Coturnix japonica: one gene and its partner. The protein of the gene in region 2 purifies or fractionates together with the protein of the main gene of each other region. This does not show direct contact. Links are inferred from orthologs where the notes say so. Each region holds a gene or a part of one and is shown on either strand. Other genes may lie near its edges.

Region 1 (4,183 bases), on a different chromosome or scaffold from region 2:
AGAAGCGGGGTCCAGCAACGAATGTTCCCAAATGGAGTTAGCACCATTATTATACAGTGTTTCAACCATCTGAAATACAAAATATATACAGGCAGGAGTGAAGAACTTAGCTGCTAGCTGCACAGATTGACTCATCAGAGAGCTGTGAGTATTGTGAACCCAGCAGCAGGATGGCACTGACTCATATTCTGTATAGCAGTGCCTAAAACCCACTGGGGTGTCAAAGCCCAGCTGATGTTTAGGAGACTGTTGTGTGGAATGTAATATGAACCCCCTTAAAATTCTCTCTCCTTCCACATGAACATCTCTACCAAAACCAATGCTGAATATTTAGGTTGAAGCAGATATATATATACATATATAGAAACACCACAAAGAAATTCTAGCTTTAGTAAAGGAGGAGATGTCATTGGTCTTTACCTGCAGCAGTGTTGGAGGCCATGGTGTGTGCTTGAGATGTCTCACTTGAGAGATATGACGCCCCAAACTCCGGTGAACGCTACAGCACTCATCGCAAATCAGAATTCCCCTGTTTATGGATGCCCAACAAGGATCTGAAAAAAGAAGACATTTATTACAACCACAGAAGGCAAGGCAGCTTCTTATTTCAGAGCGGAAAATGACTTTGTGTTTTAGAACTCAGTGTTTTAACTTGAGATTTACTGCTCTCAGAAGCAAATCCAGTTTCTGTCAGTGACAGAAGAGGCTCCGTGGGCCAAGAACCCTGCAGGAAGGAAAGTGAGCAGCAAGACATTGTCAGAGCTGGCACAGTGCAGGAGGAAAAAGGAGTTCAAAATCTCTTCTGTTTTGGAAAACCTACTTAATTCCAAATCCAGAGCTGGGTTTAAGGCTGAATGAATACAACACAAGCCTGTATCTGATGAGAGATCTTCTGCATCGTGTCAGAATACATCTAAGCAATTGTGCATCACACAAATATCCTGCTGTGACCCGTGCAATAAATATAGTGAATCCATGAAACGTGAGATCTGATCACTGATGTGGTTTCTGAGCAGAGCTGATGCTGTGTGTGCTGAAGGCAACGCAGGCAAACCCACGGCTCACAAGGGAAGGCAGCATCTACTCGTAGATGATAACTATCACATAGCCCAGAGCCAAACTGAAGTGCATGGTGTAGGAAAAAAAAAACCTAATCTAATTTAAGAAACAAAGTAATGAGGAGTTTGAGTGCTTGTTATTAAACCATTCCACTATTTTTACAACTTTCACTTCTAAGAGAGAAAAACAGAACAACAAAACAAGCTTTGTTAACCCCAACCCAACGAGCCAAGGCTGGAGGCATCCTTCAAGACTAACGAGCCTCATCCCTTTTTATTACAGACATCATCATACACTCATTCATACATCGTGATCTTCTGAAAGCCACTGTGTTCCTGGTTTCAGTCACGAGCTGCTCGTTCAATATGCACCGTAACCAACCCCGTTCAGCTACAGCAAAGCAAGCTCCTGTTTATCTGATCATTCCACAGCAGAATGGAAGCTTCAGCATCCCTCTGAAGAGCAAAGCAGAAGCCTGGCTGGTAATCTGAGCTCCCACACAAGGCTGGTCAAACAGCAGCAGGAGCTCAGCGCTGCAACCTGCTTTCAAAGTCACGGTGGTTTAATCAGAAGTGGAGTTTTAATTGAGGTACATGAAGATTTGTGGGCTCCCATTCAGTTCAGACGTGGCTCACTGCCAGTTACTTGCTCTCAAGTAACGGATGGGGACCGGAAAGGGAACAATATTGGTTATGACAGAGGGCTGTCAGGTTATAGGAAGACTTATTTCAGGTTTAAGTTAAATGTCTGCGTTGGAGTTTAGTCTGTTTCTAAAGGCAATACAGGTACAAACGCAACGCAAATACACTTACACTGATGGCGGAACACAAGAAATACTCAAAAGATCTCTCAAGTTTGCTTTCAGGAACATGGCAGAGCGCTTCAAAACAGGAAGCGTGCAAGGACAGGCGTGCTCTGCGGGTACGAGAAGTGAGCTCCTGCCCCAGCAGCATAGGAAGTGTAACAGAAAAGAGCATGTCAAACTCTCCTTGAGCACAGCACGACCACTTGTGGTCCTAAAGAAGCAAAGAGAAGTTGGGGGAAACCCCAGAAGACAACCTGGCTCAAATGAAGAAGATCCTACCAGCCCTACAAACTCTGCTTTCAATCAAAGAAGGGGTTTGTTCAGGTTTTTGGGTTGTTTTGTGAAGAAAGGACTAAGCTTTTGTTACACACATGGCTAAACCAGCAGGCTTCTCTATGAGCATCAGATCTGACGCTGTCATGCAGCACCCAACAACACACAGAGCTGTGACCCTGCTGTGTGCTGGCTGCCCTGTTGTACTGTGTCCAGGTGTAGAGCCCTCAGTACAAAAATGACATGGAGATTTTGTTAAGGGTCCAGAGGAGGGTCAGGAAGATGATCAGGGGGCTGGAGCACCTCCCCTATGAGGACAGGCTGAGGGAGTTGGGTTTGTTCACCCAAAACAAAAACCAGTCTCTAACACAGGAACACCAGCACTATAAATAAGCAGAAATAGGGACTTTAGACCCTCATTTTATACCTTTATTCCCCACACCCCCTGTCAGCACAGCGCCCATCCACACAGCGGCACCTGCCCTCCTCTCCTCAGTGCAGGGGGGTGGGGATGCGGACGGGCCCTGCCGCCCCCTCCTCTCGTCTTTCCCCTTTATCCCCCTTCTCCCCTCGGTTCCTCCGGCCTTACCCTGCGCACTGCAGTCCGCACACACCTCGCTGCTCCTCAGCCGCTTCGACATCGCTGTTCGGATCGGGACCGGCCGCTTCCTGCCGCGCTCAAGGGGCCGCCTCAGCCCCCGCCGGGCGGCCGAGCCGAGCGCGTAGTGCGCATGCGTACGTCAGCACCGCACGCTACGCCGCCGCTCGCTATTCACGAAGCATTTTACGCTAACGTGAGAAGCCAGGCGGAGCTGCGCTGCCGTAGCCGTCGTATCGCCCTAACTTAAAATGGCGAATAGAGACACTGCCCTCACTCGCAATGGCTGCGTGTCTTCCGTATTTCCGCGGTAGAGCATGCGGGCGAAACCAACGCTGCCCAGAGGCGGGGGGGGATGGTGAGAACAGGGCGGCTCGTCAGTGTTACGGCTCAGAGGTTCCCCCCCTTGAGAGGTAAAGCGATGGAGGAGCCGGCGGGCAGGACGCCCTGTATATAAATGGGGGGAGAGCGGGGAATTGAGACTTCCGCTTGTGTGAGGGTCTGTGGGCTGCAGCGGGGAGAGAACGGGGCCCTATTGAACGCAGCTGCCGTGCTGTGGGACGGCCCTACCGCTGCCCTGGAGGGAAAGGAAGGGGCCAAGGGACGGGGGTGAGGAGACGGCTTGGGTGGGAAAGGGGCTGGGGTGTGAGGTGGGGCCTAAGGATGGGGGGAGCAGGGCACTGGGAGCTGGAGACTGAGGGATAAGGGTGGGGAATAGGAGTGAGGGTCTTAGGGAGGGCACCAGGAATGGGGACAGAGGGGGGTGGGAGCAGAGCCCTAAGGCTGAGGGACCTGGGGGGGAAGGGGGAAGAAAGAGGGGGGGGAAGGCAGAAGCTGAGGTGTAAAAGGGACCCCAGATATAGGAGAATAAAGGGGACTCCAAAAACAAGGGCCTGAGGAAACGGGGGGGGGCAGGAGTGGGGGATTCAAGGAGAGCTATAGGTATGTGGGTCTGAGAGAGGGGATGGCCATAGGGATGAGGGGTGGGGGGCAGAAGCTGAAGCCTAAAGGGGATTAAAGGGGAGCAGAGACTTGAGGGAGGCCATAGGGATGGTGGTTTGGGGGGGGGGGGGGGGGGGGGGGGGGGGGGGGGGGGGGGGGGGGGGGGGGGGGGATAGAGGTCTGAGGGGGTCAGTAGGAGCAGCCCCCCCCCCCAGGGTGTGGGATTTTGCATGGGGTGCCCCTAAACAAAGCAGGGGGTGGTGAGGGCAGGCTGCCTGCTTCCCCTGCTCCTGCAGGTGCGTGGCATGATGAGTTCCCCCGGCAGGGCCAGCGCTGCGTACCCCCTGCATGTCCTGGTTTGGAATAATGATTACCAGCGGTTGGATGAAGAGCTGCAAGAACAGGTAACTGCTGCCTTCCTGGGCAGAGAGAGCCTTGGCTGTGCCCCGGGTCTGTGCCAGGCTGGTGGGACTGTTTTCCTTCTGCACCTGTCTGTTTGTGGGTTT
Region 2 (3,644 bases):
GTCACTCTCCTGTTTATAAGCTTCCTTTAAGTACTGGCAGGCTGCAATGAGGTCCCCCCAGAGCCTTCTCTTCTCTAGACTGAAAAAGGAAGACAGCTTTCTGCATTCACAGCAGCAGTTAATGCTCTCCCCACAACCTTACAGTTTCTTGCAACCACTTCCGACAGATTCTCAACTGTCTGCATTTCTCCTGACTCTCAATAACTCTTGCTAAAATCACTCTGCCTTAGATATAACGTTACAGCCAGTGAATCCACAAATGTTTTCTTGTATACTTTATTAAATCTGCCTGAATGCCTCTTTCAGGGTTTTGCAGTGCCCAGATTGAATTAGAGCCTCATGTGAATGCACATGAAGGTGGCACATGAATTCAGAAGCATTCCTCCAAAATTCTCAGAAGACAATGCTTTCCACAAGCTCTTGTTGCAAAATCTAACAGACCTACAAGCCTAAATGCATTCAAACATTAATAATTGCTTTCTGTGGTAGAGATGTATTACATGGTAGGAGGCATATAACTGAAAAGAACTAAAGAGATGGGCACTCAGTCTCGCTGAACATGTACTCCCCATCTATAGTGATCACGTTATCCATGTAGTGGGTCAAAAAGCCCCGAAGATGCAAGATACCCACACAACTGCAGCAGTGAAACCAGCATGGAAAGGGCTCATAGACACTATACATCATTACTTCGTGGTACTACTCTGGCTCTTTGTGAATCAGCAGCAGAGCTCAGCAAACACCAGCAGAACAAAATGTGCCATGTTTGCCTGGTTCATACACCCCAAGAAGTGACTGAAACCAGAAAGACTTGAATGGTCACAGCTCCTGCTAATATGATATCACGGGAGCATGCATTTGGAGAGGTTCCATCCAGTATTAAAGTTAAGGGTTAGGCTGGGACAGGGGACATTAGAACTACACCTTCCAATTGCAGAGAGAACATGGCACTTCCAAAGCAGCCTGGTAAGGAGCAGTTAAGCAGCAGGAGAGAATTTAGTTGTCATCTGAGATCAGAAAAACGTTCCTAAGGTGAAAATCAGCCAATAAGAAGTGGAGGTGATGGTGTTAAAGCTAATTTTTGCTTGACAAGAATTGTAGGACAGAAGCAGTCGTTCTAGTTTGGGCAGATGCATTGCAACAGAAGGCTCTGTTGGGCTTGGCTAGACAAAAATCTCTCATGTCTGAAAGCATCTGCCATGTTGGCCAAACTTCAGGATGTGCAGGCTTAAAGCTTAATATCAGTGGTAGTATCTCTTTTACCTGAGCTGTTTACCATTTCAGTTACCATATCTCCTTTATATTCTACAGTATTTAATGTCATGTTTATTTTCATCTTCAACATTTCAGGTTATTTCTTTGTTTTCTGCAACTGTTGAGCCTAAAGGTCTTACAAACACTCTGCTGACACCAAAATCTTACAGTTCTTCAGGATTAATACACATAAAGGCAAGTTCTAACCAGTATCCTGCAAATGTTTAATAGAGTTCACGGGTTCCTGGGTTGCAGAATTAAAAAATCAATGGCTATAAACGAATCCAAGTTCTCCCTGAACTTCTATCTCTGTGATTTAAATTAGCACACCAATTAGACTTTGTTCTGTAACAAAAAATCAAGGAGGCAGCTTCCTTCATGAAGGCAAGCAAGTTGCAGGTACTTAAGACTTTCAGTTATCCAATGTCCAGACACCATTGCAATGCAGACTCTGATGTACTAGAAAGAGAAGTCCAAAAAAAAATAAATAGGTCAGATATAAAAAGGAATCAGTAGATACTTCAGGATAGAGATTTTTTTTTCTTATATTACTTTAAGATTCATGAGAGAGTTTGGAAATTATCGACATCATTATGATTTAGAATTTCAATTCACAGCTTCTCTCTCCATTTCCATCTGTTACGGTGTCTGCAACAGGAGACAATTCCTTCCCTTCACAAGAAACGTGCAAGAATTTGTGGTGAGAAATTGTTTGTAACAGCAAGTAGAAAAATCATGACACAAAATCTAGAATAAATGAGAAATTACACCTTCGACTGTAAGCTTGTTACAGCAGACCATGCAGTAACATGTGACAGTCCTGGCAGGAAATGGACTGTTACTCATGCTTTACACATACTTGCTGTAACAAGAAACAGGCAAAAAGCTTCCCCTTCCCCACCAAAGGAACTGACAATTGCAGCTTTAACTCATCAGCTTGTAACTGGGAACACAAGGTTTATATGATTTTCAAAATCATTATGGATAAGTCATGCTAGGAGCTGGCAGAGCTTGTCCCGTCTTTTAGGGATGCTGTTCTCATAATTAAAGGGGAAGAAAAGCACAAAAGCAGATTAAGAGGGATAGATTAATTGTGGTAGAATTAATCATTAGGATAAGAAAACAGAACTAGAGCCAGCATCACATATACCCCAAAATGACAACAACAGCTATGCAAGAAATGAACATGAGCCATCTTCCAAACCATCGTTAAGCAACAGCCATCCAGAGCAAAACTGAGACATAAGTTTTATAAGGAAAGCCACAATACTGTACTTTTATCTCCTGGTAAAATAGATCGGTAAAATCGGTCCCTCTTCTTTTTTTCTTCTGGGTTGGGTGGCAAAGGTTTTGAGCCATGGTTTAAAGTCCCGGTGTCTTTGCTTCCTGATCCAATCATAGTGCTGGTATTTCTCATCGGAGGAGCAGGTGGTTTGTCTTCTGTTTCAACTCCATTGTTAGACATCTTCAGATGTAGAGGCCGTTACTAGCAAAGGAGGAAGAAAAAGAAGTAAGAAGCTTTGTGGTTTGTTGAGTTAGAGTTGGGTTTTTTTTGTAAATTAGAATCACATGCTGTCAAATAAACCACACACAGGTATTTTCAGACAAACGTGCAGCCTCACACCAATGCAAAGCGTCAGCACACATTCCACTTGAGATCCCAATCATTTCTATTATATTGAAGAGTTTCAGTTACTAATTATCACAAAAAGCTTGTTTGCGGGGTACAGCCAGACCTCAAGTATAACATGAAGCAGAAGTGTAGGGTGAGGGTGAGCAGAAAAAGCAGCAAATCCCAGGTAGCAGAGAGCAGGGATATCTGACAGCAGCCAACATAATCTTACAACCATTGAGGCCGGAAGACTCTAAGACCATCAAGTCCAACTGCCAACCCATTTCCACTATGTCCACTAACCACATATCCACAGTTCTTGAACTCCTCCAAGAACAGCGAATCCACCATCTATGACAAATACTTTGTCAGAAATACCTTCTTCCAAATAAGACCTCTCGGATCCATTCTAGCTCTGCCAAAATCTGCCTCAACAGGTTTGCATCAACCTCCAGCTCAGGCAGTAACATGATGCACAGGGACTGAAGTTTGCAATCAAAGAGCATGGATACAGCCACTCAGGCTCCATCACTGAAAATGCATTGAAATGCACCAGAGGGAGATGGGCAGAAAGCATCAGTGTTGCATCCGTGTCACCTCCATGTCAAGTCCTGCAGTGTTTGCTGGGCCCCGGCCTTCCTGCCATAGCAGCATACTTGAAGCACAATTCAGACAGCCAGAACACTGATCCTCAATATACACATTAATCTCTAAGTAAATAAACCCTGCTGTGAGGATTTAAAGACGGAAGCTTGTGAACTGGGTAATAGATTCCTCT

Evidence for each region. Proteins that work in one complex are often made in the same cells at the same time.
Region 1: the proteins of PAK1 (region 2) and GIT2 purify together in Homo sapiens (affinity purification with mass spectrometry; 5 studies listed by BioGRID and IntAct, with this or other methods). This does not show direct contact. The link is inferred for Coturnix japonica from reciprocal best matches to the Homo sapiens genes PAK1 and GIT2.

The regions. Positions count from the first base shown.
Region 1 is NC_029530.1:6,002,622-6,006,804, forward strand, and holds the start of GIT2 (ARF GTPase-activating protein GIT2), read right to left. Parts: upstream 2,876-4,183; 5' UTR 2,779-2,875; coding exon 2,727-2,778; intron 555-2,726; coding exon 421-554; intron 70-420; coding exon 1-69. Other genes in the region: ANKRD13A (ankyrin repeat domain-containing protein 13A), read left to right, coding at 3,193-3,344, 4,003-4,081. UniProt on the Homo sapiens protein: GTPase-activating protein for ADP ribosylation factor family members, including ARF1.
Region 2 is NC_029516.1:172,845,920-172,849,563, reverse strand, and holds part of PAK1 (serine/threonine-protein kinase PAK 1), read right to left. Parts: intron 2,741-3,644; 5' UTR 2,720-2,740; coding exon 2,530-2,719; intron 1-2,529. UniProt on the Homo sapiens protein: Protein kinase involved in intracellular signaling pathways downstream of integrins and receptor-type kinases that plays an important role in cytoskeleton dynamics, in cell adhesion, migration, proliferation, apoptosis, mitosis, and in vesicle-mediated transport processes.